Lonchura striata: one gene and its partners. The protein of the gene in region 1 purifies or fractionates together with the protein of each later gene. This does not show direct contact. Links are inferred from orthologs where the notes say so. Each region holds a gene or a part of one and is shown in the gene's direction. Other genes may lie near its edges.

Evidence for each region.
Region 2: the proteins of VAMP4 (region 1) and STX12 purify together in Homo sapiens (affinity purification with mass spectrometry; 3 studies listed by BioGRID and IntAct, counting the BioPlex papers as one, with this or other methods). This does not show direct contact. The link is inferred for Lonchura striata from reciprocal best matches to the Homo sapiens genes VAMP4 and STX12.
Region 3: the proteins of VAMP4 (region 1) and STX8 purify together in Homo sapiens (co-immunoprecipitation; 3 studies listed by BioGRID and IntAct, counting the BioPlex papers as one, with this or other methods). This does not show direct contact. The link is inferred for Lonchura striata from reciprocal best matches to the Homo sapiens genes VAMP4 and STX8.
Region 4: the proteins of VAMP4 (region 1) and STX6 purify together in Homo sapiens (co-immunoprecipitation; 5 studies listed by BioGRID and IntAct, counting the BioPlex papers as one, with this or other methods). This does not show direct contact. The link is inferred for Lonchura striata from reciprocal best matches to the Homo sapiens genes VAMP4 and STX6.

Annotation. Positions count from the first base shown.
Region 1 is NC_134611.1:616,825-624,041, reverse strand, and holds the start of VAMP4 (vesicle-associated membrane protein 4), read left to right. Parts: upstream 1-4,155; 5' UTR 4,156-4,321; coding exon 4,322-4,387; intron 4,388-5,567; coding exon 5,568-5,614; intron 5,615-5,914; coding exon 5,915-5,965; intron 5,966-7,217. Other genes in the region: MYOC (myocilin), read right to left, coding at 1,759-2,543, 2,630-2,749, 3,193-3,694. UniProt on the Homo sapiens protein: Involved in the pathway that functions to remove an inhibitor (probably synaptotagmin-4) of calcium-triggered exocytosis during the maturation of secretory granules.
Region 2 is NC_134628.1:5,437,122-5,444,768, reverse strand, and holds the start of STX12 (syntaxin-12), read left to right. Parts: upstream 1-4,465; 5' UTR 4,466-4,504; coding exon 4,505-4,619; intron 4,620-7,647. UniProt on the Homo sapiens protein: SNARE promoting fusion of transport vesicles with target membranes. Together with SNARE STX6, promotes movement of vesicles from endosomes to the cell membrane, and may therefore function in the endocytic recycling pathway.
Region 3 is NC_134621.1:1,093,940-1,101,158, reverse strand, and holds the start of STX8 (syntaxin-8), read left to right. Parts: upstream 1-4,124; 5' UTR 4,125-4,170; coding exon 4,171-4,187; intron 4,188-5,449; coding exon 5,450-5,549; intron 5,550-7,219. Other genes in the region: TBC1 domain family member 24, read right to left, coding at 318-1,353, 2,151-2,193. UniProt on the Homo sapiens protein: Vesicle trafficking protein that functions in the early secretory pathway, possibly by mediating retrograde transport from cis-Golgi membranes to the ER.
Region 4 is NC_134611.1:2,047,284-2,054,492, forward strand, and holds the start of STX6 (syntaxin-6), read left to right. Parts: upstream 1-4,020; 5' UTR 4,021-4,068; coding exon 4,069-4,103; intron 4,104-6,408; coding exon 6,409-6,578; coding exon of another isoform or gene 6,579-6,592; intron 6,593-7,136; coding exon 7,137-7,209. UniProt on the Homo sapiens protein: SNARE promoting movement of transport vesicles to target membranes. Targets endosomes to the trans-Golgi network, and may therefore function in retrograde trafficking.

The DNA of each region.
Region 1 (7,217 bases):
CACCAGGTGCTGCTGCTCCCCGGGGCTCTGCACAAACCCTGCCTCACCCCGGGGCTCGGCTGGCCCCCGGCAGCTGCCGGGTGAAGGGGGACTCCAGCCCCGCCTCCCATCCTCTTTTGGGACAGAAATGCCTTTCTCCCATCCTTGGTGGCAGGTTTGCCGGGCACTGCTGGCCCTGGCTGCTGCCTGCTTGGCTCTCCCCTGCCCTGGCCCCAGGGCTCCCCAGCTCTGTGTGTGACAGTGACAGGGGTGATGTGCCCCTGACCCTCCTGGGCTGAGCCTTGCTGTGGAACCTGGGGCCAGCACTGGCCACAGGGACACCTTCACTGGCCCTGGCTCAGGTGAGATTCCCAGCCTGGCTCTGGGCCTGCCCAGGAGCAGGAATGGGTCTTTCAGCTTCCTCCCTCTTCATGCTGGGCACCAACTTGCTGCCCCCCCCTGCAGCTTACCAGAAATATCTTACCCATATTGTCTCACTTTTTAAAACCATCTTGTATTTTTCCAAAATAAAGCATGGGGAAGATGGATAAACCAAATACTTCATTGTGATATGCAAACATACAGTGCTGCTACACTTACAAGTGTTAGTGTCAGGAGAACAGCGGTGGGGTGAAGCATCCAACTGAAAATCCCTGTAGCTGCTGGTGATCATCACAAATGTCACACTGCATTCTCTGTCCTTTTCCACTGCTCAGTACCTGTTGTGTTGCTGTCAGAAGCTGCCTTCCAAAATGTGGCATTTTCCTGCTCAAGGCTTTTACAGGTCCCCTCACCAGCACCTTCAGCCTGTCGGTGCATCAAGAGGGGTACCAGCCCACCACACTCCTTGGAAAACAGGCTTGGAAAGATGAGGTGTGAGGCAGCAGAGGTGCTGGGTGATGTTTATTGGGCCAGGACCCTATGCAGCCCCTGGGGAATGTGGTTGCTTCTGCCCCAAGCGCCACAGGGAGAAAGAAGCCTCCCCTCCTATAATAAATAGATAAAGCAGCGTGTTTTGGACTGGTGTGGGGAGAGCTGCTGGCCTGGGGTGGCCTGTAAAGCTGAAGCACATGGCTGGAAGGGCTGGGTACCAAGAGACCACCCGGCTGCAGGATGCTCTCCCAGCACTCCTCACCCCTGCTCTCTTGGCAGCTTTTTTCCTCAATAAAACAAGGCTTGTGCAATGTGTGTCTGTATTTTCTGTTGCTTTTGAGCCTACTCGATGATTTTTGGAGGTGGCTGAGCTCCAGGATGCCCTTGGGCACTGGGAGTGTGGGATATCAGTGGAGCTTGTGGGATCTCTGCATGAGAGCTCTGCAGGCTGAAGCCTGGAAACAACAAACCCTGACCCCACAGAGGGGATCGCTGCTCACAACTAGGGAAAAACGCTTATTTTAAGGCAGGAACCTCCTGCACAACCCTTCTACCACCTGCTCTGCCCAGCCCTCACCGTGCCCGAGCCCTCCGTGCTCCACATTCAGGGTGGGTAGGCTGGGTGCTCAGAGAGGTGCTGGAGCAGCTCAGGGCTGGGTACAGCTGTGACCCACCCGAAACGCCCCGAGGCCGGTGAGAGGCATTGCCCTGGCTCGGCCAGGCTCTGGAGCCGTGCTTCATCTCTCTGCTGCGCTTGGGCACAATGCGATGTGGCTGGGCAGCGTGTGGCCCCCAGCACCACCGAGGCTGTGTGAGGCGGCGCTCCCGGCCGTGCCGGGGGCCATGGGGAGGGAAGCAGGGTGCCAAGGCCCGCACGAAGGTCCCGGGGGCTGCGCCAGCCTCGGCTCACGCCCGGGAGAGGCGGACGGGGTAGGTGACCATGTTGAAGCTGTCCCAGGCGAAGAGCCGCCGCTCGGCAGGGTTGTAGTCCAGCATGCTGAGGTAGCGGAAGCGGTTCTCGAAGGGGATGCCGAGGGCCCGGCTGGTGCCCGTGGCAGTGTCGTAGGCAAAGTTGACGGTGGCGTTGGGCGCCGAGTAGCTGCTGACGGTGTAGAGGGTGCCGCAGATGAGGAAGGAATTGGCCACCCCCCGCTTGCGGATGTTGGTCTCCCAGGTGCGACGGATCTCCAGCGTCTCGGGGTCCAGCTTGGACAGGACGATGGCTCCCCGGGCCTTCTCGGTGCTGTAGATGACCCAGAGCCCGGTCTCATCCACCGCCAGGTCGATGTCGGTGTAGCCCCCCCAGGAGTAGGGGTACTGCCCGTGGTAGCCGGCGCCGGGGATCTCCCTCTCGGCCGTGATGGTCTCTCCCCGCAGGTCGTAGCGGGCCACGGAGCGGGACTGGCGGGGCTGGAAGAAGAGCCCGCCGCGGTAGATGACGGCGCCCGTGCTCTCCAGGGGCCGCGGCAGGATGTGCACCTTGGCGGGGTAGCCCCGGGCCAGCTGCTCGGCCTCCTCGTACTGGAAGAGCTGGCGCACCTCGGTGCCCACGGTGTCCACACGCCAGGTGTTGTCCCGCGTGAAGGGCGGCACGGGCTCGGGGTCCTTCATCCACACGCCGTACTTGCCCGCGATGGAGTCCGCCCGGCCGAGCACCACGGGCTCTCCCACCCACACCAGCTGGCCGCAGCCTGCCCGGGGACAGGACGGGACAGACAGGGGTCACCGCCAGCCCCTCGTCAGCCGCGGGACGTGGGGCCGGCCCGGCAGCCCGTACCTGCGTCCTCCTTGCCCGGGCGGCCGAGCGCCGTCTCCTCCAGCAGCCGGGACACGGGAACTTCGGTCCTCTCCGACTGCAGCTCCTGGAAGCTGAGCGGCTGCGGCTCCCAGCGCGGCGCTGCAGCGGGGTCGGGCACAGCGTGAGCGGGGCTCAGCCGCCCCCTCACCGCCTGCCTGCTGCCGCCGCCCTCGGGGGGCTCCGTGCCGGGCTGCTGCTCGCAGAAATGCCCATGCTTTGGGCAGGAGCCCGGTGCCCCCTCCCACTGCAGCAGGGCACATCTGTGACCGTTCTCTTTGGGGGAAACTGCTAATAGCCCAGATCAGCACGGTACCCTACCTCCCCCCTCTGCTGCGGGGCAGGCGATGGGATGAGGGATGGGATGAGGCGGGGTGGGGAGAGAGCTATGGGGCGATGGGCTGCGACCTCCCGGGCAGGGCTGAACCCGGCGGGGTCCCCAGGAGTGGGGGGCAGCAGTGGCGCACAGCACGGGGCCGCAGAGGGACTCGGCCGGAGGGGAGGAGGCAGGCAGGGACGCACAGGGCTGCCGGCCCGGCACTTACCCTTGGCGGGGGCGCGCAGCGCGTCCCGCCCGGGCCCCTCTCTGCCGGGGGGGCAGCGGGCGGCCCGCAGCCGGCTGATCTCCTGGGCGCTGCTCTCCAGCCGCCTGCCCAGCTCCTCTTTCTCCCTCTCCAGCCGCCCCTTCTCCTCCTCCAGCCGGGACTTGGCCCGCAGCAGCTCAGCGTACGCAGCCTCCAGGCGGGAGGCCGCGGCCGCTCGCTGCGGGTCCCGTGCGCCCCCCGGCTCGGCTCCCCGCGGCCCCGAGCCCCCCGCCGCTCGCTCCCGGCTCTCCAGCCGGCTCAGGCGGGCGGCCAGGGCGGCCAGCTCGGCGCGCAGCTCGGGCGCGCCGCCGGCAGCCTCGGGGCAGGCGGCCTCCACGGGGCTGGCGACCGTGAAGGAGTAGGTGCAGTGCCCGGAGCCGTCATGGGCGCGGCGGAGGAAGGCGGTGTCCGCTCGGCCGCCCAGGGCCACGGAGCCCCAAAGCAGCAGCCAGGCCCCCAGCATGGCCCCGGCGCCGCCGCTCTCAGCGCGCCGGCCCCCGGCGTCCGCATTTATAGAGCGAGAGGCTCGGGGCGGCGGGGGGCGGGCGACCCGGAGCCTTCCAGCTGCCCGCGGGGCACCGGCACTGCCGCGCCGCCTCCCCGGAGCCGCTGAGGCCGTGTGCCAGCGGTGACGCCGGGGCGGGCGGGCCCGGGGCCGAACCCCGCGGGGGCCGCTCGGGGCCGGGGCCCGAACCGAACCCAGCGGCCGAGGGCGGCCCGGCCCCGCCCCGCCCCGCCCCGGCCCGCCCCGCCCCGCCCCGGCCCGGCCCCGCCCCGGCCCGGCCCCGCCCCGGCCCGGCCCCGCCCCGCCCCGGCCCCGCCCCGCCCCGGCCCCGCCCCGCCCCGCCCCGGCCCCGCCCCGCCCCGGCCCCGCCCCGCCCCGGCCCGCCCGCCATCGGTAGCTCGGCGCTCGGCGCGGCGGGCGGGGCGGCGGCGGTGACGGGGCTCTCCGGCACCGGCCATTTCCCGCCGGCCCGGCCCGGCCCGCTGAGCGCGGGGGCGGCGGGTCCCGTCCTGGGCCTGCCCGGCGCTCCCTGCTCTCCCCTCCAGGCTTCTCCCCGCGGGCACAGCCCCGCGGCACGGACCGGCCATGCCTCCCAAATTCAAGCGGCACCTGAACGACGACGAGGTGACGGGCTCGGTGAAGAGCGAGCGGGTGAGTGCCCGCGGCGGGGCTGCCCCGGCCGCGTTTCTGTGCCGCCGCACCGCGGGCCCCGCAGCCCGGAGCGCGGTGACAGCGCTGTTCCGCCGGCGAGGGGCTGCCCGAGCGCCGGCCCCGCTCCGTGTGTCACTCCGGCCTCGGCGCGGCTGCTCTGGGAACCTGTTGCGGCTCCCTCAGGCCGCATCCGTGGCCAGGAGATGCCGGTGTGCTCCGGCCTCCTGCCCTTCCGCAGAGCCTGGCAGGGACACGGCCTGGCTCTGCTGCCCACGTTGGCTGAAGGAGCTGAGTGAAGTCACCCTGTGCGTTACAGCTGACTTTTTTTCTCCCGTCATCACGGTCCCCTCACATGTCATGCTTTGAGTACAGGTCCCGGCAGTTGCCTGGTTTGGACAAAGTGGATTTAACCTGCCTAGGTCAGGCTGTGCTACAGTTCGCTTTAGGCTGTGGTCGGAAATGCTGCTGCAGCTCCCGACAGCTGCCACGAGCTGGCTGCTTCTCCCTTGAGGGAAGCAGTGACTGGAATTATTGCATGGTGTTGCATGTTCATTAATTGAGCAAATGTGCCAGGATGGAAATGTAGGTGAGCTGCAACATCAGAGTATCAGGCTTGCAGGTGGGAGCCCAGCAGCAACTGTTGGCACCCCAAGGACCATCTGCTGCTCCCTGGGCCTACACCTTTACTGTGTCACCTCCCCCTCTAGATTGTTTTTCACCCTAAGCAAAAATGTGTTTGTCTGCAACATTCAGACTTCTGTGGGATTGTGGGGTTCCTCTTAAAAAACAGGTTTTGGATCCTCTCATGGAGTGCAGTGGATCAGCAAAGGGGAGCCCCAAGTAGCCCTTTGGGGTGAAACAGAGGAGCTGCCAGACTGCTCTGCCCTCCAGCCCAAGGAAGCCAGTGTGTTCCCTTGTGGTCATTCCTCTTACACCTGCTGCCATCAGATACAGGAGAAACCTTGTCCTCCAAATCCAGTAGATCCAATTTCCCGTGTGGATGGGACAGCCCAGAGTGTCTGTGGGTGATCTAATGATTTTGGGTGCAGGGCTGGGGATTGTCCCTTGAGCAGAGAGGGCCTTCCTTCAGTCAGGGGATGCTGATTGCATCCTAAGAGCTGGAAATATGGGTATGAATTGGTGGTTGCTTATTGATGAAATGTTTTTTCTGTGTTTGCAGAGGAACCTGTTGGAGGAAGACTCAGATGAAGAGGAAGACTTTTTCTTGTGAGTTGGAGTGCAGTGTCATACCTGCCTGCAGCTCTGAGGCTGGGGGCTTGGGAATGAAAACCTTTGACTCCTTTGGGATGTTCTTCCAGAGCTTTGGCCTTGAACATGAATTAATAGGTGTGACCTTTTGTAAGAGGGAGAGATCCCACGGATCCTAAGATCTGTGGGAGGGACTGATGGGAGGTATGAAAACAATACACTGTGCACAAGGCGTTGGTTCTCTCCTCAGATCATTTGGGTCTGGTCTAAAAACATGTTTTCATTGTACCTGACCTGCTTGCTCTTTTCTGCCTGCAGGAGGGGGCCTTCTGGACCCAGGTTTGGACCCAGGAATGACAAGATCAGGCAGTAAGTTGCTGTTGCTTAGTGTCACAGAGATAATAATTTATTGTGGCACTGTGAGCTCCTGCTGCTGTCTTGTCAGAGTATTTCTGTGTAGGTCATCTTATGAACATTCCTTGTGCCTGTGTTCTTCTAAATAGTATGTCCTATCCACATATCCACAGCTAAAGGAAATCTTAGTTTTGATGCAGCCTGTCAAGAAATTGTGTTTTGACAGAGGGAAGGGGATCAGGTTACACCACAGTAGCTTATTGGAGTTTCTGAAGCCCTTGCTGTTTTCTGGTGGTGACCTGTTCAATGTTTTTGTGAGGCTCTTTCTCTACATCATTAACCCTGAATTTTAACCTTTCCTAGTAACATTTTTTTATTTTTGAGGCTTTTTTTTTACCTCATCCTGTAACATGCTCCTTAACGTTTCAAGAAAGTAAGTGGTCAGGAACACACCGGGACCATGAGGTTCAGGCAGCAGCTGGTCCTCTGGCATCCCCTTCTGCAGGTAAAAACCTGATATAGGTGACCTGGAGATGAGCCGTGACTCACTGGGGTCAAAGCAGCAGGAAAACAGGAAACCAGTACAGCTGGAGGAGGAGTGGGGCATGAAGGAAGGAGTGAACACTCTGAATCCTTCTGCCATCGAGTCATTTCCTGGATGAAGCTTGTTCAGGGCTCCAGTTTTTCCTGTGAAGGATGCGGTGGTGGTACTTAATCAGAAGTGTGGGGTTAACTCACAGACCTCTGGTCTGTGTTGCCCTGTTCCTTTGCTGATCTCTGTGGAGGCAGGACAGAGATCTGTGTGGGTACTGCTGCCTGGACATTGTTCAGACTATTCTTTGTTTGCAGCCTGTGTGTGGCTCTTGGTTAGGGATTTTTTTTCCATGCCAGGAAGAAGCCAGCACAGCTCTGGGATGACTCATGCTACCATCAGCATTAGGCTTTGCTTGTTATCTTGAGGGGTGAAGGGCACTTGAGCTCCACAAGAGGCAGAGGGCAGGGGCTGCACCCTGAGTTTTCAGGGCATCTCTGTTCCCTCCAGAGTGTGAGGATGCTGTTGGTAGAGAGGAACTGCTCTTTGGAGGAAGTCAGTCCTCCCTTCTAGGGCATGATCTGGAGGGAGTGAGAAAGCTGAGAATTGGGTTTAGGAGTGGGGTCTCACCTCCATAGAAAGGTAGAGATGGGGTAGTGTCCATCCCTTCATCCTCCTCTGCTGGACAGCACCTACAGTGTGTGCTGTGTTCCCTGTTGGGAGAAAACAGGAGCT
Region 2 (7,647 bases), on another chromosome or scaffold:
CGGGGAGAGGAGTGCAGAGTGCGGGAAGCGGAGGGAGGAGTGCAGGGAGAGGAGTGCAGAGAACGGAGTGTGGGGAACAGGGAGCAGAGTGTGGAGGAGCCGGGTGAGGGGTGCCAGGTTCTAGGTACTGAGCACTGGGTGTGTAGTGTTGAGTGCGGGGTGTCAAGTGTGGGATGTGGGTTGTGGGGTTTGGGGTTTGAGGTTTCCAGGTGCTGGGTACTGAGCGCTGGGTGTGGGGTGCTGAGTGCAGGGTGTCAAGTGCGAGATGTGGGTTGTGGGGTTTGAGGTTTCCAGGTGCTGGATGCTGGGTAGGGAGTTTGTGGGCAGAGCACCAAGACCTAGGTGATGAGTGCTGAGGGTCCTGTGGTTCACAACACCCGGTCCCTTCTGAGAAGCAGGTGCTGGCCCCATCCTTCCCACAGCCATGCTGTTTCCTCCAGAAATGCAGGAACGTGTGGGAAATGTGTAACAGTGGTGACATCGTCACACTGTGCACCCTCAGAACACAGAGCGAGAAGCCAGAGCCCTGGGAATCCTCCTTGCTGAAGCAGAACACACTGTAAGCACAGCAGCACCATGGGGATCCCCTCAAAGCTACTGCTGTCACTTTAAATCCTCCTGCAAAACTCCTTTCCTGCCCCATAAGCTCCCCTGTCCCATCATCCCACTTCCATTAATGTAGCAGGTTGGTATGAGTGTGACTCCCAGAGTGGCATCTGGGTGGGCAGATGGGAAAGTTTACTTTTCAGGGCCTCACCACCTTCACAGGGAAGAATTTCTTCCTAATATCCCATCTCCCCCTGCCCTCTGACAGTGGGAAGCCATTCCCCTTTGCCCTGTCCCTCCATCCCCTGTTCAAAATCTCTCTCCAACTTTACTGGAGCCCCTTCAGGCACTGGAAGGCCACAATAAGACCACCCTGGAGCCTTCTCTTACTCTATTACACAAGTTTCATCCACGGCCCTGCTCCCTATTTACCATCATTTTGACCTGATGTGGATGCTTCTGAAATTAGAATTTTTTTGTTGTAACAAGCATTTTTTAAAGAAATATTTACGCTCCTACTTTACGCACACATACACTAATTTCTTAAGAACATACAGGGCATGACCCCAGTTTTTTTATTCAAAGATTGGATGTACTTTCATTAAAATACTACAACTCCTGCAGCAGGGAGCAGAAAGGGATCTTCTCTTAAAATCCTTTACATTTGCATTATTGCTGGTGGGATTGCTCAGTACTGGAAGCATGGCTCTTCCTCACCCTAGGCCAGGCTGTCACAGCAGCCCTCACCCTGGCAGGGCTCCTTTTTCCTGGACCAAGAACCCAGCAGGGACAGGGAAGTGCCTCTGCTGGGCTGCCATGTCCTAAAAATCTGAATGGCACAGGATGTCTCCCAGACTAAACCTGCCACCATCTACAACTCGGGCTGTCCTGGTAGTGCCAAGCACCTCCTGCAAACTGACATCAGGAACCTGGGATGGTGAGTTTCGTTTCCCATGGAAAAAGGTCAGTGTTCGTGTCCAGGGGCTGTGCCCTGAGTGTGCTGCCACCTCCTAAAGTTCCAAACAGCACAGGATCTCTCCCAGAACAAAGCTGCCACCACCAATAACTCAGGCTGCCCTGGCACTGCTAAACGCCTCCTCTAAATGGACATCAACATACTGTGGGGTGAGTTTATTTTTACAGGGGAAGGAGCAGCATTTGTGTCCAGGGGCCCATGGCTCGGAGTGGGCTGCCACCCTCTAAAATTCTGAGCGGTGCAGGATTTCTCCTGAAATTCCAAACGGTGCAGGATTTGTTCCAGACCCAGCCTGCCACCTGTGGGAATCCAGAGCTTCCCTCTGGCTGCCCTGGCAGGTCTGGGACCCTGGCAGGGGTCAGGAACCCCCCTGGACAGAGCCCCCAGAGACACTGGCTGTGATCTCTGCCCATGGAAAAGAGTTTTCAATCTCACAGGATGAATTACCAGCTCTGAGTGTTTGATATAAGTCATAATTAAGTGTGGCACGGGTGCAAAAGTAAAATTTTAGGTTTCTAGGGGTCCAAAGGGGACAAGATGGAGGAAATTGGGTGTGCCTTGTCCTTTTTCTCCTTCTTCATGCCCTCCATGTCTCACTGTGGTGTTGGCATTTTTCTGTTGGTTCAGGCTGGGGACACACTGTCCAACGTAGGTGACAGATATTGGCACGTTATTGTAAATCCAGCCCAGGGAGTTTCTGGTATTTAATGTTTGTAACATCCCACTGAGGGCAGAGCCCCACACGCTGCCCTGCAGGACAGAGCTGGGCAGGGCAGCAGAACATGTTAGAGATAAACAGAATAAACAACCTTGAAACCAGCACAGACCAATTATGGCTTCAGCAGGGCTGAAAGACAGAGATTTTTACAATCTCGGAATCATCAATACCTCAGATTCCGACAGGCACTGCCTGCAGCTCTGGCTGTCCTGGCAGGGCCAGGCCAGGCGCCGGCACTCAGCCTTGGTGAGGCCACAGTGCAAGCGCTGCGTTCATGTCTGGGCCACTCACTCCAAAAGGGACATGCAGGTGCTGGAGAGTGTCCAGAGAAGGGCAACAAGGCTTGTGAAGTGTGAAAAATGCAAATTTTATGATTGTCTTTTCACAAATATTGAAATGAATATTATATGTGTAATGTTAGAAAGTTATGCTGTATTAATTCTCTTAAGTAGTGTGTTAAATGTAGTTTCAGGTTCCAACATAATGTTAAAATAGAGATTATGTATGTGGGGGAAGTTTTTTTTTAGGAATGAAATACTCACTTTGAGGAACACCTAAATCTTCCCAAGGAGAAGAATTTATGGCTTCTTATCAGAAGAAGCTAATTTGTTCAGGTCCTGCTCAGACTCAAAGACACCATGGGGATTAAAGGAACAGTTGACATACAACAGAGTTTCTTGTTTTAAATAGAATGTATGCATAACCATGAAGGATATATGAATATGCAACAAGTGTATTGTTTTAAGGGTGATTCCTTTGTTCACAAGTCATGCTTGTCGTGACTTAGTGTGAGAGCATCCAGATGTCCGTAATTCTTTGCTTTTTATTGTCTTGTAATTGTCCTAACTCTAAACTTTATTACTCTAATTGTATTATTATTTTATAACCATTTTATTATTATTAAACTTTTAAAATTTTAAAAACCAAGTGATTGGCGTTTTTCACATGAAGGTTCTAGAAAAATATGTCTTACGAAGAAGCGGGTTTGCTTAGTCTCGAGGAGACTCAGGGGGGATCACAAGGGGACTCTACAAGGGGACTCTACAAGTCCCCAAGAAGAGATTGTACTAGGTAGATACTGGTCTCTTTCTCTTCTCTCTTCTCTTTCTCTTCTCTTCTCTTCTCTTCTCTTTCTCTTCTCTCTTCTCTTCTCTTCTCTTCTCTTCTCTTCTCTTCTCTTCTCTTCTCTTCTCCTCTTCTCTTCTCTTCTCTTCTCTTCTCTTCTTTCTCTTCTCTTCTCTTCTCTTCTCTTCTCTTCTCTTCTCTTCTCTTCTCTTCTCTTCTCTTCTCTTCTCTTCTCTTCTCTTCTCTTCTCTTCTCTTCTCTTCTCTTCTCTTCTCTTCTCTTCTCTTCTCTTCTCTCTCATGCCTGTAGTGAGAGGACAGGAGGAAATGGCCTTGAGCAGAGACAGTGGAAATTCACATGAGATACCAGAAAAACCGTTCTTCCAACGAAGGGGCTGCCCATGGAGATGGTGGAGTCACCACTCCTGGAGGTTTTTATGAGGCAGCGGAATGTGGCGCTAGGTGATGTTTTAGTGTTTGAAGGTTACAATGGCAGTGATGGTCGGTGGGGCAGGGTGATCCCCGGGTGGGGCAGGGTGAGCTCCATATGGGGCAGGGTGAGCTCCAGGAGGGGCAGGATGAGCTCCCTGTGGGTCTGGGTGAGTTCCAGGAGGGACAGGGTGAGCTCCATGAGGAGCCGGGTGAGCTCCCTGTGGGTCTGGGTGAGCTCCATGAGGGGCCGGGTGAGCTCCATGTGGGGCAGGATGAGCTCCATGAGGGGCCGGGTGAGCTCCATGAGGGGCCGGGTGAGCTCCATGTGGGGCCGGGTGAGCTCCATGTGGGGCAGGATGAGCTCCCTGCGGGTCTGGGTGAGCTCCATGTGGGGCCGGGTGAGCCCCGGGTGGGGCAGGGTGAGCTCCCTGTGGGTCTGGGTGAGCTCCATGAGGGGCCGGGTGAGCTCCATGTGGGGCCGGGTGAGCTCCATGAGGGGCCGGGTGAGCTCCATGAGGGGCCGGGTGAGCTCCATGTGGGGCCGGGTGAGCTCCATGTGGGGCAGGATGAGCTCCCTGCGGGTCTGGGTGAGCTCCCTGCGGGTCTGGGTGAGCTCCCTGCGGGTCTGGGTGAGCTCCCGCCGCGCCCGCGCCCTCACGCCGCCGCTCTCCCCTCACAGCGGCCGCCCCCGGCGCGCAGGCGCGGCGGCCGCGCAGGCGCGGGCGGGCGGGCGCTGTCAGCGGGGCCGGTGCTCGCTCCGGCCCGGCCATGTCGTACGGGCCGCTGGACCTGCGCGGCCCCGGGGCGCCGCCGCCGCCGCCCCGCGACTTCGGCGGCATCATCCAGACATGCAGCGGCAACGTGCAGCGCATCGCGCAGTACAGTGAGTGCGCGGCCGGGGAGGGACGGGGCGGCCCGGCCCGGCAGCGTGAGGGTGCGGTGGGGGCCGGGATGGGCAGAGCCTCGCCGGAGCGGTGCCGGGCCGGGCACACGGCAGGCACCGGGTGTGGTGATGCCCAGCCCGGCTGCAGCCGCGGTGAACGCTCTCGGTGGGTGTCTGTGCCTGCCGCCGAGCCGCCCCTTCCCACCTCGGGCAGTCCGGCCGCTCGCTGGCATCGCGTGCCCGCAGTGAGGGCTCCGGGGCAGCGCCGGCTGTCACCGGGCTCGGGAGCAGCCGCGGTCCCAGGGATCTCCAATGGGCGTGGAACGGGCGGCTTTCCCCCTCGCTGTGCTGGCAGCGTCCTGCTCCCGGCAGGATGTCCCTAAGGACACAGGTGCACTTTTCCTGTCATTAGAGAAAGTTACCGGTGTTGTACGATAACTATAGAAATCTCAGTACTGGTCACTGAAGGCAGTAACATCCAGGAGAGTCTTTGATGTAATCCTTTCTGAAGATACAGGCTTTGCTAATTGTTCAATGCCCATGCTAGATCAGTTGAATATGTTGGTTCCTCAGAAAGCTTGTGACTTCTCTGATGATGCAAACACATTTATGTTACTGAAAATGTTTTGCTCAGTCATGTTCTTTTCTCCTTGGTGTAGACATTGCTGAATTGTTGGCCAAGTAGCATGGCTTGTTGAGGGTTTTTTTTCCCTTTTCCCCCCTTTTTATTTTTTCCCTTTACACTCCTTCCTTCTTCCTTCCACGGGATTTCTTTGAGCCTCCTGTTCTAAGCAGCTCAGCTTCTCTCTCTCATGGGACAGGCTTCTGCTGTCTCATGACCTGCAGCCATCCTATCTCTGTGCACTGTTATCTCAAGTTAAACAAATAGCCGTACAGTTTTATGGAGGTGGGTGGGAACACTCAGAACATCTGACTTAATGTTACAGTAGTTAACTTCATTACACACCGAATAAAAGCTTTCCATTCAAGCCAAGAGAAGATGCTGTATTGAAGCCTTAAGGCTGTCCTCATTTCTTCTTCCCCTGTAAGGGAAAGAGCAGGCAAACAGTGTGCACAGCTGAGTATTACTCACTTCTTTGGGGAGTCTCTGGAGTGAGCATTTCACACAACATGTACAGAAAACTGGTGGCAAAGCTGGCAAAACTGTTGTTTGCTCAGGTAATGTAGCAGACTTGCAGCTAGAGGAGAGATTGAAGTGTTTCAAGAAATTTTAGCTGTCACATAGTAAGTATGAGGAAGGCTCTACAGCCTGAAATTAAAAGGGCTTGGAGATGGAAAGCTGTTGACTGAGGGGCTCTGTGTGTTGGTGCATACCCACTGTCCAAAGAATAAAGAGCTCCAGCCTCTTTCTTCCATTTCCTAGACACTTTATTCATTTTATTCTTCCTTCCATTTTCTAGACACTTTTTTTTGCATAGACTGTACGTGTTGCTGTTGGCTGAGATAAACTAAGCAAAGCAAACTGCTGAACCTGGCTCAGGGCAGGACAGACTTTGCCTGGCTTGGAAATGGTGCTGTGCAAGAATCTCCCCATGCAGAGAGAAATAAGCCACAGAATGTCTGGACATTATGGCACAAATGCTGTTTGCCAAGTCCTCAGCATCCGCACACAGAGTGCAGTCCTTGTGCTGTTTGTCACCAGCTTGACTGAATTTTTCTGACCTTCCTGTGTCTGACAGAACTGTGAAATATGTGCAGACTTGCTTGCTGGAAGCCAAGCTCAGTATATGAGGAGTTGCCAACAAACTCCTCATTGTATAATCTAATAGAAATCTGAAGTCCTAGGTGAGAATACACTTGGAGAATGTAAAAGCTAATTACTGGCTAATTACTGATTAACTCGTATTGCAGTCTTAGCTGCCCTTGTAAGCCATTGAACATCCTTTTAAAAGAAGTGGTCATTGTAGGGATGTGATGCTTCTCCAGCAACACATTTAATCAACTGCAGAGACTCCAGGCTGAAAGCAGAAGTTAAACAGGAGGGTGTCTCTGAATTGGAAGAAACTTGTTAAACTCATGGGATAATTCAGTTCAATTCAGTTGCCTGTGGAACTGTATAAAGGTGATTCTTCTTGGTCTTGCTTCTCACTGCATGATGAGATAGCTTAGATTTCATGATTGATTTGGATCAATCTTTGTACTGCTGTTTTAAGTGCTGAGCCCAGCACTTCAGTAATGATAAAATCTGTGCTGCTGCAGAATATAGGGGATCAGCTTCTTGATCTGTCAGAAAATAATTCTAAGGTAGAGGGACTGGGGAGAGAAAATGTACTTGCTTTTCAGGTAACCTAATGGTTTGATGTGATTCATTGTGTGGTTTCATGATCATGAGTGCCTACACAAAGAAAATAGTGGGAAAATATCAGAGATAAGGGAGAAGGAGGTCAAAAATACCTTTCTGTGCTACAACAAGATTTCAAATTGACAAAGGCAAAATGTGAGGTGCACATTGCTATCTGTTCTCGAAAGATCATTTGTGCCAGTATTGTGAAATCTTTGGACTATCATGAGTAGAAAAATTCAGGTCTGGGGCAGGGGGTTTTGAAACTAAAAGCAACACTTGGCATTTTCTTTTTATTTTTTTTAAACAGAGCACTAATAATTGAAGTAACTTTAAAACAATGTAAAAGTGGCAACACAGCATAATGAAGTTTTTCTGCAGCAGTGATAGCTTAAGATACTGAAATAGCAAGGCTGGTAGAAACAGCTCTGTTAGTCTAAAAAGGATGAGGAAAAGGAGTGCACAAGCTCTCAGCACCACTGACTTCTCTTGAGGGTATCTATGCCTCACTGTCGCTTTCTTGTCTGAAAGTTAGTTTGTTAGGCTGGGTCATGTATAGGTGGGGATTTTGCATTTCACAGAACCCCAGAACTGTTGGGTTTGGAGCGGACCCCTGGAGATCACCTGGCCCAGCCCCTGCTAAAGCAGGTTCCCCTGAGCAGGTTGTGCAGGAGGGCATCCAGGCAGTGTTTGAATATCTCCAGTGAAGGAGAATCCACAGCTTCT
Region 3 (7,219 bases), on another chromosome or scaffold:
GCTCTGCTGTGCCCTGACAAGGGTTCCCGGTCTGGCTGTGCCCTGACAGGGTCTCCGGTCTGGCTGTGCCCTGACAGGGTCCCCAGTCTGGCTGTGCCGTGCCCCTCAGAGGGTCCCCCAGCTCTGCTGTGCCATGTCCCCTGACAGGGTCCCTGGTCTGGCTGTGCCGTGTCCCCTGACAGGGTCCCCCAGGGGCTGCGAGGGCCCAGCCCAGCCACAGCTCTGGGAGGTTCCTGCAGCTCCCCCGGGGGCTCTCCACAGGAACTCACATTGTGGCAGCTCGGCCCCAGAGCTGGGGAGTGCAGAGCTCTCCTCACCTTCTCTGCACCACGGTGATGCCCCTCTCCACCAAGGCCTTCCTGTTGGCCATGTGGAGCAGCCAGATCTCCTTGCGGGAGAAGAGGCGGATGCCGAAGGCTCTCTCCAGGAGTTTGTCCGCAGACACGTGCTCGGCGATGTTCCTGACGAAAGCCTGCAGCTCCGCCTTGACGTCGGAGCCCTGCAGCCCGGCCGGGGCCGCCGAGAGCCGGAACTGCTTCAGCAGGGCCAGGGCGATGCGGTACAGCACCTTCTGGCCCTCCAGCAGGAACACATCCAGCACGCGCACGGCGTAGCCGAAGGGCAGCCCGGGAAAGAGCCACGACAGCCACTCCGAGTAGACCTCGAGGACGTTGTCGGCGGCGCCGGCGATGAGCTTGTGGGCCGCCGGGCAGTGCTTGCTGGCCAGGTCCCCGAAGGTCATGCAGGAGGCCTGGTGGGCCAGGAAGGACTGGTCGATGTAGGCGGCGTGGGGCGCATTGCTGGCGATGAGGCGCGAGAGGCTCTCGAAGCACTGGGCCTCGTCCTCGCTGTAGTGCAGCAGCAGCGCGGCCAGCGCCGGCAGCAGGGGGCTGTGCGTGATGTCGGGGAACAGGGCGCCCACGCACACCAGGATCTTCTTCAGGGCCGTGACCCCGTGCGGGCTGAGGCAGTAGGTGGGCACGGGGCAGCCCTCCAGGAACTCGGGCAGCGGGTGGGAGCTGACGCTGCGCTTCCCGAAGAGCCGGCCGGCCACGTCGCGGTAGGCCGGCGCGTCGGGCGTGACGAGGCGGCAGGAGACGCGCTGGATGAGCCGGGGGTAGAGCCGGGCCCGGCCCGCGTGGCTCCGGGCCCAGCAGCCTTCCCTCGCCAGCCGCTTCAGCTCCTTCGGGGGCCTGCCCAGCACGTCCCGCGGCACCGGCGCCGGCCCCCGCGGCTCCGGCATCTTGTCCCAGTCCACGAAGGGCCCGCGGCCCCGGCACGAGGAGGTGTCGATGTCCCAGGTGTCGGCCTTGGACGTGACCACGATGGTGACCGGGGCCGAGCCGAGCATCTCTGCAGGGCAAAGAGCGTTTATTGAGCACCTTTCGCCGCCCCAGCCTGGCTCGGGGTGCTCTGAGCCTCACAGCCACGTCCGTCCTGGATTTCTTTGCTCTCCCCTGCAAAGGGAAGCGTTTCAGGCTTTGCCCTCTCCATCAGCTCCGGGCCCCGAGAAGTGTGGGGCCAGGTCCCAGCTGGGTGTCAGGGCTGCTGCTCACACCGCGAGGGGCTTTTCACCCCCCGAACGCTGCCAGCCCCGGGGCAGGGCTCGGGCAGCCCCAGCCCGGCGCTGGCAGAGCCGAGCCCGAGCTCCGCCGGGAGACGGGAGCGGCGTTTCCCCGGGGCTGCGGGAGCTCGGGACGAGCCGAGCCCGCCCGGGTGAGCTCTGCTGAGCCAAGGGGACACGGGGACAGCCCGTGGTGGCACAGCTCCGGCTCTCGCTCTCCTGCTCAGCTCGGCGCTTGCCCGAGCCCAGCAGGAGCAGCGGGCCGGGCTCAGGGCCGGAGCTGCTGCATCCGGAGCCGCTCCTGTCCCGGACACAGCCCGACCCCAGCACGGTCACGGGGGCTCCTGGCCGCAGGAACCAGCCTGAGACAGCACCGGCGCTGAGTCGGGGGCTGTCTGCGCCCCAAGTTCACCTCGGCTCTCTCAGGGCGCTGCCCGGGTACCGCGGAGCATCATCCCGAGCCCCGCCGGTGCCCGGCCCCGGGCGCCGAACGGAGGCTCCGGCTCTGCCCGCCCCGGACGAGCCGCGGGGCTCGGGGCAGGCACCGGGCTGTGCCCAGCCCCTCTGACCCGCCCGGCGCACTCACCTCGCCCGGTGCCCGCGTCCTCGCCCGCGGCCGGCTCGGCCATGGGGCAGCGGGGCCGGCTGAGCCCACCCGCAGCATGGGCCAGCCCGGCCACCCCGCGGCTCCGCTCTGCCCCGCACCTGCCCGCGCTCTTAAGGTGCGGCCGGCCCGCGGCCGCGGGGTTTATTTGGGGTAAACACAGCGAGGGTGGAGCAGCTCCGCGCCCGCATCGCCCCTTCCTGCCCCGGTTCCGCGCCGGGCCCGGCCGGGGGCTGTAAACACCCCGTGGGCCGAGATAGCATCAAACAGCAACACGAGCAGTAAACGAGCCCTTTATTTTCCCCAGGATAACCTTCGTGCTCCCGCTCGGCTGCGGCTGCTGCGGGCCGGCCGTGGGCTCCGGCGGCCCCGGTGTGCCCCGGGCAGTGGCTGGCACCGATCGGTGCCAGCCTCGGAACGCGCAGTGAGCGCTGTGCCCACGCACGGAAGAGCTGAGCCGGAGGAAAAGCGGCTCCAGCAGCTGCGAGAGGCTCCCGGGACACCGGCCCGGTCCCGCAGCGCTGCCGCAGAACTCCCAGCTCGGGCTGTGCTCAGCGGGCACTTTTATAGGCATCCCAAGCTTTTAAAAGATGTTTATTTGCCTTTAAAATCGGATTGTTTCTGGTGTGATAAGAGCAGCTGCAGGTTGTTCCTGACCTGCCTCCCTGCCTGTGAAATATGAAAGATGTAGAGGCCGTGGGGCTCGGGCTGAGCAGCGCAAGCCGAAGGCCATGAATGTTTGATGGCCGCGGCTGCGGGAGCATCTCCGGGTGTGCGGAGAGACGGGCCAGGGGACAGAGCCCAGCCCGGAACGGGGGAGCAGAGCGGGGATCAGTTCTGGAACGGGGATCAGAACACGGATCAGTTCTGGAACGGGGGAGCAGAACACGGATCAGTTCTGGAATGGGGGAGCAGAGCGGGGATCAGTTCTGGAACGGGGAGCAGAACACGGATCAGTTCTGGAACAGGGGAGCAGAGCGGGGATCAGTTCTGGAACGGGGGAGCAGAACACGGATCAGTTCTGGAATGGGGGAGCAGAGCAGGGATCAGCCCCGGAACGGGAACAACGTGCTGAGGAGATGCGCTCGTTCTCGTTATCAATGTCGTTATCACTATTGTTATGATTGTCCCTATCGCTGCCGTCATCGCTGCCGTTATCAGCACGGCCCCGCATCACGAGGGCGACAAAGCCTCGCTGGCTCTGTCAAACTCCTCGGGTTTGTGCCCCATTTGCGTCACCGGTCGCCCCCAAAAACAAAGGGAGAGGGCAAACCCCGGTGGATCAGGGGTGGGAAGGGCTCGGAGCCGAAACAGCGACAGTGCCAACACCTCCAGTGGCACCGGGACCGGGGCACGGCGACATCGGCATGGGCAGCGGCTGTCCCCGCAGATGGGCAGGGACAGGGGACAGCGCTGGAGAGGGAACCGGTGCCACCGCTCAGCGCTGGGTTTCTGTGGCAGCAGGGAGGGGTGGGGACAGCTGTGGCTGTGTGCTGTGCACATCTGCACACATCTACACCTGAACAGCCTAAACACCTCTGCACCTTGTACTGCAAACCTCTGTGCATGGAACCTCTGTTAACCCCGAACATCTGCACGTGTCCCTACGCCCCGCACATCTGTCCCTGCACTCTGCACACCTGCCCCTCTGTCCCGAACACCCCAAACATCTGCCCCTCTATCCCGAACATCTGCAGCTGTCCCTGCACTCTGCACACCTGCCCCTCTGTCCCTGCAAACCCCGAACATCGGCCCCCCTGCCCCGAGCACCGGCCCTGCCCTCCCCGCTGCGCCACCGGCGCCGCTCCCCGCACTGCCGCCCCTCGGGGGCCGGCTGCGCTGCCCGGGCCCGAGCCCCGGTACCTCTCTCCATCTCTCCATCTCTCCCCTCTCTCCCCATCTCTCCCATTTCCCTCTCCCGTTTCCCTTCCCCTCCGTCCCCTCCCGGCGCCTGCGCGCCCGGGCGGATCCGGCGGAAGCTCCGGGCAGGTTCCGGGCCGCGATGGCTCCGGACCCCTGGTGAGCTCCGGGCCGGGCCGGGCCGGGCCGGGCCGGGCTGCGGGTCGGGGCCGGGCCGGGAGCCGCCCCGCGGGGGCTGCGGAGCGTGCGGGGAGCGGGGCCGGGCGGGGCGCGGTGTGCCTTCCCAAAGCCCGACCCGGTGTGCGTGTGTTTGTGTTTGTGTTTGTGTTTGGGGTCTGTGCCTTCCCAAAGCCCATCCTGGTGTGGTTGTGTATTTGGGGTCTGTGCTGCCCTTCCCGGGCTCCTTTCCCAAAGCCCATCCCGGTGTGTTTGTGTTTGGGGGCTGTCTCTGCCCTTCCCAGGCTCCTTTCCCAAAGCCCATCCTGGTGTGGTTGTGTATTTGGGGTCTGTGCTGCCCTTCCCAGGCTCCTTTCCCAAAGCCCATCCCGGTTTGTTTGTGTTTGGGGGCTGTCTCTGCCCTTCCCGGGCTCCTTTCCCAAAGCCCATCCCGGTGTGTTTGTGTTTGGGGGCTGTCTCTGCCCTTCCCAGGCTCCTTTCCCAAAGCCCATCCTGGTGTGGTTGTGTATTTGGGGTCTGTGCTGCCTTTCCCGGGCTCCTTTCCCAAAGCCCATCCCGGTGTGTTTGTGTTTGGGGGCTGTCTCTGCCCTTCCCAGGCTCCTTTCCCAAAGCCCATCCTGGTGTGGTTGTGTATTTGGGGTCTGTGCTGCCCTTCCCAGGCTCCTTTCCCAAAGCCCATCCCGGTTTGTTTGTGTTTGGGGGCTGTCTCTGCCCTTCCCGGGCTCCTTTCCCAAAGCCCATCCCGGTGTGTTTGTGTTTGGGGGCTGTCTCTGCCCTTCCCAGGCTCCTTTCCCAAAGCCCATCCTGGTGTGGTTGTGTATTTGGGGTCTGTGCTGCCTTTCCCGGGCTCCTTTCCCAAAGCCCATCCCGGTGTGTTTGTGTTTGGGGGCTGTCTCTGCCCTTCCCGGGCTCCTTTCCCAAAGCCCATCCCAGGCTTTGGGGCTGTGTGGTTTTTTGGGGGTGTTGTGCTTTCCCCTCCCGAGGCTTATACCGGCGGGTCGCAGCACATCCTGGCGGGTTCTAGCCCATCCTAGCCCATCCCGGCTGATCCCATGAGATCCCAGTTGATCCCATGAGATCCCAGCTGATCCCAGCTGTTCCGGGTGGGTCCCAGCCCATCCTGGCTGATCCCATGAGATCCCATCCCATCCTATCCCATGGATCCCATCCCATCCCAGCCCATCCCATGGATCCCATCCCATTATCCCACGCCACGATCCCAGTATCCCGCTGTCGCTCTGCAGGCTGCCGCAGCTGGCCGCCGCCCGCCAGCTGGCCCAGGACATCGCCGAGAAGCTGCAGGAGCGGAGCCGCTGCCAGCGGAGCGGGGAGAGCTCGGCCAAGGTGCCCCGGCGGGGGCGGGACCGGCGGGGCTGGGGCCGGGATTGGCTCGGGAGGCGGAATTCCGGCATGCGAGGAGGAATTCCCGGGGTGCGGGGAGGAATTCCAGGATGGAGCTGTCCCAGAGGCTCTGGGATGCTGGGATGGAACTGTCCCAGAGGCTCAGGGATATTGGAATAATGGGATGGAGCTGTCCCAGAAGCTCAGGGATCAGGAATAATGGGATGGAGCTGTTCCAGAGGCTCTGGGATGCTGGGATGGAGCTGTCCCAGTGGCTCAGGGATGTTGGGATGGAGCTGTCCCAGAGGCTCTGGGATGTTTGGATGCTGGGATGGAGCTGTCCCAGTGGCTCAGGGGTGTTGGGATGCTGGGATGGAGCTGTCCCAGTGGCTCAGGGGTGTTGGGATGCTGGGATGGAGCTGTCCAGAGGCTCTTGGATGCTGGGATGGAGCTGTCCAGAGGGTCTGGGGTGTTGGGATGCTGGGATGGAGCTGTCCCAGAAGCTCAGGGATCAGGAATAATGGGATGGAGCTGTCCCAGAGGCTCTGGGATGCTGGGATAGAGCTGTCCAGTGGCTCAGGGGTGTTGGGATGCTGGGATGGAGCTGTCCAGTGGCTCAGGGGTGTTGGGATGCTGGGATGGAGCTGTCCAGAGGCTCTGGGGTGCTCAGCAGCTGCTCTGTGCCCTCTGTCTGTGAGCAGGGAGCAGATGTTCCTCCCCCAGGGCTGGCTCCTGCCTTTTGCAGTGCCTGCAGGTCAGAGGGAACAGGAATCTTGCAGCCGTGTTTTAGCTGCATTTCTCACAGAATGCAAGCCCAGAGTTAACAGGAATGAGAAGCAGCAGTTGGAGCTTCCCCAGGAATGTTGTGTCCTCCACGTTTTCACACTCCCTGTGTAAGAAATAAAATAAAGTTAGGGTTTTCAGGAGACTGCTTTCCCTGGGGCTCCTTTCCTTCAGGAGCAGCTTTGAGTCATTACCTGCTCCCTTGGCTGTGTTCAGGTGAAAATTGCTGCAAGCCCTTGAGTTGGTAGTTTTTAATAATTGGCATAATCAAAGGTGCAGTGCTTTTTCTCCCCCTCTCTGTATCAGGGCTGTAATGCAGTGCCTGATCACTGGATCTGCTGGGCCACTCACTTTGCTGAGAGGTGTTCAAATCAAATGTCATTTTTGAAATGTTTCCTAGGAAGAAATTCTGAGGAAGAGTGTGTAGGCTGTGCACAATAACCAGTGCTGCTGAATGGCTGCCTCACTTCAGCAGGAGTTGAGCAGGGGTCTCAGAAACCCCAATAAGTGGGATTTGGGAGCAGGATTTTCTCTGGCTGTGGAGTGTTTGGAGGTGCAGATTAAATTCCTGCTTTCAGGATGGTGAAGTGTCAGAATTGCACAGATACTCCTCAACAACAGAAGACCAATAAAAACTTGCTGCTCAGTCTGTATTTATGGAGGGCAAAGTTCTCTGCTGCCATCAGTGGCACCTCTGAGGAGCCCAAACCCCGATGGAACATGGGGCTGGTGCTGTTTGGAGCCTTTCTGGGGCTGGAACTCTCCGGGGTTGTGTTTGTGGAAACATTGCACGGGTGACTGACTCCTCCATAAAATCATCTGTCCCATGGCCTGCGTTTTCCAGCTTCCTTTCATCCATTAACAGGTAGAGAGGAATATTTGGCAGGGTT
Region 4 (7,209 bases), about 1.4 Mb from region 1:
TGTGCCCATTCCCTGCCTTTGCTCGGGATGCTGGGCCACTGCCACCTTTGGGAAGCACAGGCCAGGATGTGCTCTTTGCTTAAAATTTGGGGGATTCCTCCTGGCCAAGCCTCTGCAAAATCAACTCACGTGGGAGTAAGGCTGTGTGTATGTGGATGGGGACATCTCCCAGAGCTCTGCAGGCACCATCCCTCTCCTGCCAGCTGCTGCAAGCCCAGGGCTACCTGTGCTCAGCTCCTAAAGAGCCCAGAGATTTGAGAGAGGTGGGAATGAGGGATCCCCACCCGGGCATGGACAGCATCCAAGCGACACAGGGCTGTTCTCACCCCACAGAAGGGGAGGAAGGAAGCCGTGCCTGTGCCTCTGCAGGGCAGGAAGGGCAGCAGGAGCCGAGCAGGCTGCCTGTCACTCCCTCCTGCTTCCTCCCTCACTGCCTGGGAACACAGCCTGCCTGGGCCACTCCTGCCGGGCACCCCGTGCCAGGGACAGGGCCCCACAGTGCCAAGGTTTTGCTCTGTGAAACCGGGTGAAGGAGGCCAGCTGGCTGGTTTATATGAGGTTTGAAAGACTGCAAATCTTGTGAGAAGGAAGGGGTTTAGTCTCCTGGCTTTAGCATAAAGCACAAAATTCCTTCCCAACAGAGGAGCCGGACATGAACAACACTGCTGCTAACTGCAGGTGTGTGAGAAGATGGTGCTCGAACACCTTACCTCACTTCCTCTCTGCACTGAGCAGGCTGCTTTTAGTTCTCCAAAATAAAAAAATTATTATCTTTAATCCATATAACCCAAAGAATGGCACACACACCACCTTCTGCATGGTCTCGCTGGTGCTAAGGACTGTGGACCATTGTGGCAAGGGGAACACAGGAACGTGTAACCACCTCTGTCATTATAGGGCTGCTGAGAGAAGTGTTGGACTCAGCAATCCTGCAGCCCTATTCAGCCCTGATGAGAGCATTTTTGGGGTGCTGTGTGCACCTCTGGGCTCTAAGGAAGGGCTGCCAAGAAGATGGAGCCAGACTCCGCTCGGTGGTGCCAACCATCAGGACACAGGAGGAAAGGGGCAGGAACCGATGTTCAGCAAGTTCCACATGAACAGAAGGAAGCTCTGTCACTGTAGGAGTAACCAGGCTGTGAAAAATGCCAATCACTTGGTTTTTAAAAATTTTAAAAGTTTAATAATAAAATGGTTATAAAAATAGTAATGCAATTAGAGTAATAAAGTTTAGAGTCAGGACAATTACAAGACAATAAAAAGCAAAGAATTACGACAACGTCCAGATGCTCTCGGACACTAAGTCTTGTGAACAAGGGAATCACCCTTAAACCAATACACTTGTTGCATATTCATACATCCTTCATGGTTATGCATACATTCTATTCTAAGCAAGAAACTCTGACGTATGTTTCCTTTAATCCCCCTGGCATCTTTGGTTCTGAACAAGGCCTGAAGAAATTAGTTTCTTCTGATAAAAAGCCATAAATTCCTCTCCTTTGGAAGATTTAGGTGTTCCTCGAAGTGAGTGTCTCATTCCTAAAAAAAAAAAGAAAAAACCAGAAAAAACCTTCCCCCCCACATACAGAGTCTTTATTTTTTTTTAACTCCTAAAGTCTTCATATTAACTACAAAAGCACAACTAATCAATATAGCGTAATACATATAGCAGCTATCTGCATAGAGCCATATAATATGCATTTTTCACAGGGCTGATTTATTAAAAAAATGTGGATATTGATCTAGTACTGATATCCAACAGTCAAGGACAAAAACTCTCTAACAGTATAAAGTTAAAGGTGTGTGTTTATTTTGTGCGGGATCGCTCCCAAATCCACACTGCACCTTCCAGGTGGTTACAGAGCCTTTTTATCCATACAAGTATTGAATACACAAAATACAAATACATATTCATCATTTTGGTACATCCCATTCCTCGCTTTGTATGCTAATCACTCCAAAAGCCATTCAGCACGCGTGGTTTGTCCCTTGAAATGGGTCGGTGTCCCTTTCATGGGGAGGGGTCCCAAAATGAGGAAGTCAATGAAGTCTTCCTCCTTCTGACCTTTCTACCTTTTCAATGCAAATATGACAAATGAATCTTGGTAGAACTCCCATTCCTTGTCTTCAATTGGTTTCAGAACAGACGAGGCCCACAATTGTCTTATGTTCCTAAAAGCTGTTTGTCAGTCTCTGTATTCTTCATTATAAACCCAGCTAACTAAACATTGTGTCACTATAGGACACGTAAAAGCACGATGCGAGTCGCTGCTATTGCAAAGGTGAAAAAGAGGAAGTTTATTTTCTGACTCCAGCATTTATACTTTTCCAAAGGTGACAGTGGATTGGAGGGTGAAGGTGCCACCTCTCCAATGACATTGGACAAACTACCAGTACATCAAGTTTCTCCACCTCTGTGAAGGAATGCAAAACAATAGGTTGTTTGCAGAAAGTTGTGTGAGAAAGTTCTCTAACAGAATGTAAACTCAGAAGGCTTAAGAAAATCTTAAAAATCAGGGCGACAACATTGTGCTGACAAGCAATCAATTATTAGTCAACTGCTAACTCTTAACTTCATCAAGGCCTACTCATTTATTTTAATTAACTCTAGTAGGGCTTATCTCTAACTAAAATCTTAGCTCCTCTAAAATCTCTAAACCCCTTAAAATTTACGTTTCAGGGCAATGGAACAGATGGCCCAGAGAGGTCCATGGGGACACAACCCGTGCCACGTGCTCGGGGGTGAGAAGGGAGGCGGCACCGCCGAGTTCCCTTCCACCCTGAGCCATGCTGGGCGTGATGCGCTGGGTGGCTGTGGGAACTCAAAATGTCCCTCAGACATTTTTGGAGGTTCCAGGCCCCGGTCAGAAGCATTTGAGACCCTGGCAGGCAGCTGGAAACAGCTGTGATTTTGGGTTTGAGCCATGGAATGAGTTACCAACCTTGCAGGAAGAACAAGAAGTCACGAAAGTTTAAATGTTATAGTAGAAGTGGTTATAAAGTAGAGGGGAGAATTTTTTAGTATTGTACAAGCGGGTTTTAACACCTGTACATGGGGGTTTTTTGTTCTGTACATGGGGGTCAGAGGTTTTAAGATGGAGGAATGCAGGCCGGTCCTTTTCCTCCTCTTTCTTCTTCCTTACCTCCATGTTCTTGGTGATGTTGGCACTCTCAGATTGGTTTAGAGTAGAAAAGCACCATTTAATATAGGTAATAGGCATTGGGGAAAAACTGTAAGCATGTAACACGTAATGTACCATATAAAAGATAGAAAAGCACCATTTAATACAGGTAATAGGCATTGGGGGAAAACTGTAACCATGTAACATGTAATGTACCATATAAAAGATAGAAAAGCACCATTTAATACAGGTAATAGGCATTGGGGGAAAACTGTAACCATGTAACATGTAATGTACCATATAAAAGATAGAAAATCACCATTTAATATAGGTAATGGGCATTGGGAAAAATTGTAAACATGTCACACGCAATGTACCATATAAACGAGAGCAGCAGCCCTGGGCGGGGAGAGAAGAAGCAGTCGGGAGTCAGAGAGGATGTCAGGGTGTGTGTGTGCCTCTGCCTGAGCTCTGAGCAAACCACAGCAGCAGAGAAGAAAATCTTTTAGATAACTCGCAATAAACTGCCTTGAGACCGGACAGCAGAGACTGCTGAGTTTTCTTTGGAAGCACGGGTTGGAAGAGAGACTTTTCCACCACATGTAACTCCTGAACCAGGCCTGGGTTCCTTCAGGTGGGAGGGACAGGGGGCACTGCGGGAGGAGCTACGGGAGGAGCTGCGGGACTGCCCGGGCAGCACCGGGACGAAGCCGCGGCCCCTCAGCGCCCCCGCTCCCTCAGCGCTCCCGCTCCCTCAGCGCTCCCGCCCCCTCAGCGCTCCCGCCCCCTCAGCGCTCCCGCCCCCTCAGCGCTCCCGCCCCGCGGCGCCGTGCGCGCTGACGTCACCCGGCCACGCCCCCGGCGGGCGGGGCTGGCGGAGGGCGCGGGCGGGCGGGGCCGGGCCGGGCGGGGCCTGGCGGCGGCCGAGGCGCGCGGCGGCGGCAGCGCCATGTCGATGGAGGACCCCTTCTTCGTGGTGAAGGGGTGAGCCCCGCGCCCCGCGCCCGCCGGGACGCGGCCGCGGGGACGCGTAACCCGCCGGCGGCGCGGAGGGGGCGGGCAGGGCCGCGGCGAGGCTCGGGAGGCCGGCGGAGCGGGGGCGAGCGGCGGCGGGGGTCTGTGAGGGGGGGAAGATGGCGGCGGCCCCCGGGCTGTGAGGGCTCCGCGCCGGTCCGGGGCCTGTTCGCCGGTGCGGGGGCGCTGCCGTGAGGCCTGGGCCCGGGCCTGGCTGCAGGTGCGGCTTGGGGACAGTGGGAAAGGTGCAGGGAGCAGGGAGCGAGCTGTGGGATAAACAATGGCCGTGAGAGGAAGCCTGCAGCGAAGAGCCTGAACGCAGGGAAATACCAGCCGAAGGAAAATTGTCATTAATAGGGTGAAAGGAGCTGTGTTGGAGCTACTGCAGAGGGTCCAGTGGAGGCCACCTAGATGATTTGGGGTCTGGAGCATCTCTCTGGTGAGGAGACACTAGACGAGCTGGGCCTGTTTAGCCCAGAGAAGACAGAGGGGATCTCATCACTCCATACAAATGTCTCTAAGGCGTGTTATGAGGATGGTGCCAGACCCTTTACAGCAACAGGCCATAAACTGAAATTCAAGAAGTTCCACCTCAAGGTGAGGAAGAACTTCTTTCCAGTGAGGGTGGCAGAGCACTGGAAAAGGCTTCATGGAGTTTGCTGCAGACATTCCAAACCCATCTGGAGGTATCCCTGCTCTAGGTGACAGTGAATGACAGGGGGTTTGGACTGGATGACCCACAGAGCACCAGCAATTCTGTGATTCTGTGAAAGCAGCTCCATCACTGAACACTGCCCTCGGGCCACCTTCAGCTTGTGCTGGGGGCTGCTCTCCTGCCCCTTGTCACAGCGAGACAGCCCCAAGGAGCAGCAGAGGGGCTCCTGGTGGGGTGTTTTGGGAGAGCCATGTGAGAAGAAGTGTGGGAATGGATATTGGTACAGCCAGGGAAAATGAATCCCTTCACCAGGATAAACTCGTGCTTAGAGGAAAGTGTAGGAGTCGCCATGGGTGGGGAGCAAACGTCCTGTCAAACTTTCCAGAGATGTTCCTGCAGCGGTGGGGAAGGGCAGGGAGGGGGAAGGGGATGTGCTGCCGCTCCCACAGTTAATTATTACCTGGCAGGTCGGAGGGGCTGCCGGTGGTGTAGCCACCAGAATTGCTACTAGTTTGCTTTTCTGGTGTCTGTAACTCCTCCCATCAGAGGACACCCAGCTCTGCTTTACATTCTTGCTGCTGGGGACTTCCACAAGTGTGGGGAAAAACAAACCCAGCCAAATAAAATCAAAACTTGTGCTGGCAAGTAGAGGAGGGAATGAATTTTTCCAGATCCTCAGTGCAGGCTGCTGGCTTTAGGGCACTCAGAGTGGCAGACTCGGAGCTGTAGGCGTGTGAGAAGAGGAGGGACATGCATCAGAGTGCTGAGAAACTGCAGCTTAGACAGCAACTGGAGGACCAGCTGGATCAGGCCCTGGTGGAACTTACAGAGGTGCAGTCCTGGCACGTCAGTTCATCTGCCCTGGGCCTCCCCTGCTTTCCTTCACTGGGGTGAAACACCTGACTGCTGTGTGCAAGCTCATGGTGGCCTCCTTGGACACCAGCACATCATCTGATCTCCCCGGTGAACCTGGGGGAGCAGTTCAGAGCTTGGGACCGCAGAGTTTGTAAATGCACATAGCCACACTGAGAGTCTGTGACCCAAATTTACAAACCTGCTTGCCCCAAACCAGATGTGTCAGCAGTGCCTTCCCCCGCTGTGAATGCATTCGTCTCCAAAAGAGCTTAGAGCAGCAGAAAAAACTTGTGTTTCCTAAGCCAGCGTAGTAGGCCTGTGTATTTTTTTTAAATGCTGAATTAAAATAAACAGTTCTGCATTCAACAGTCTGCCTGGCTGTGCTGCGGGGACAGTTCCTGTAATTCTGTGTGCCCTTGGGGTATCTTACATGGGTACTTAAGGGCCTTGAGAGGAAAACTGTAGAGAGAGGAATGCAAAGTGTGGATTGCCAAAGAGCTGCCTTGTTCAGACCCTCTGCCCTGGCTTGCCTGGGTGACACTCAGCAGCTTCCCCTGAAGAAATAGGTCCCTTCATGAATAACTTCATGCTGCAGTGAGATTCAGGGCAGATCTTTATTTTACAAAATAAACACGCAGTTGTTGGAAGGAGGGGTGTTTGGGAGGAAGCTGTGGCATTCCTGCTCAGCTGGACACGGGGCTGTCCCAGTGTCACTGCTGCAGGGCAGCTAGTGATAATTCTTGGCTTCTCTTCACTCACCTGCAGGGAGGTGCAGAAAGCTGTGAACACTGCCCAGGGGCTCTTCCAGAGGTGGACAGAGCTCTTGCAAGATCCCTCCATTGCCACAAGAGAAGAAATCGACTGGACTACTAATGAGCTCAGGAACAACCTGCGAAGCATCGAGTGGGACCTGGAAGACCTGGATGAAACCATTAATATCCTTTTTTTGGCCCTTTGGAGGTAGTTGCAGTTCTCAGGTTGTACTAAATAGCAAAGTCCCAGTGCTTGTTCCTCTGCAAAAATCAGGACTGTTTGGGATTGAATTTTGCATTCACATTGGCTTTTCTCAAATTGCAAATGAGAAATTAAGTAAAGGATTTTCCTTTTGTCTTTTTGTCTCCCTTTTTGCAAGGTATATTCTAAGAGGCTTTGTTTTAGAAAGCCTGTTGTGTTGTGTGAATCTGCATTTCTGCAGGCTCAGTTCATTTTCTAGGCTGCCTTCCAGAAATACTCCTTGTCCCTCGTGCTCCTCTGAGTGCTCCTGAAAACACTGCCCAGCATCACAGAACCAAAAAACCACATGGAAAAGAGAAACCTTGTGTGTGTGCTTCACAGCACATTCCTGCCATGTCTCCTTTTCCATCCAGCCTGCAGTTCTTTGCTAATCAGATTTTGGGAAGAGGCAGAATACAGGGGCCCCTTGGCAGGCTTGGGGTTTGTGTATCCATGTGGGCAACCAGCCCACTTCGGGCACTCCTTGACTCGGTGCCCAGGCATCGTGGAGGCAAACCCACGGAAATTCAACCTCGATGCCACGGAGCTGGGAATCCGCAAAGCCTTCATCAC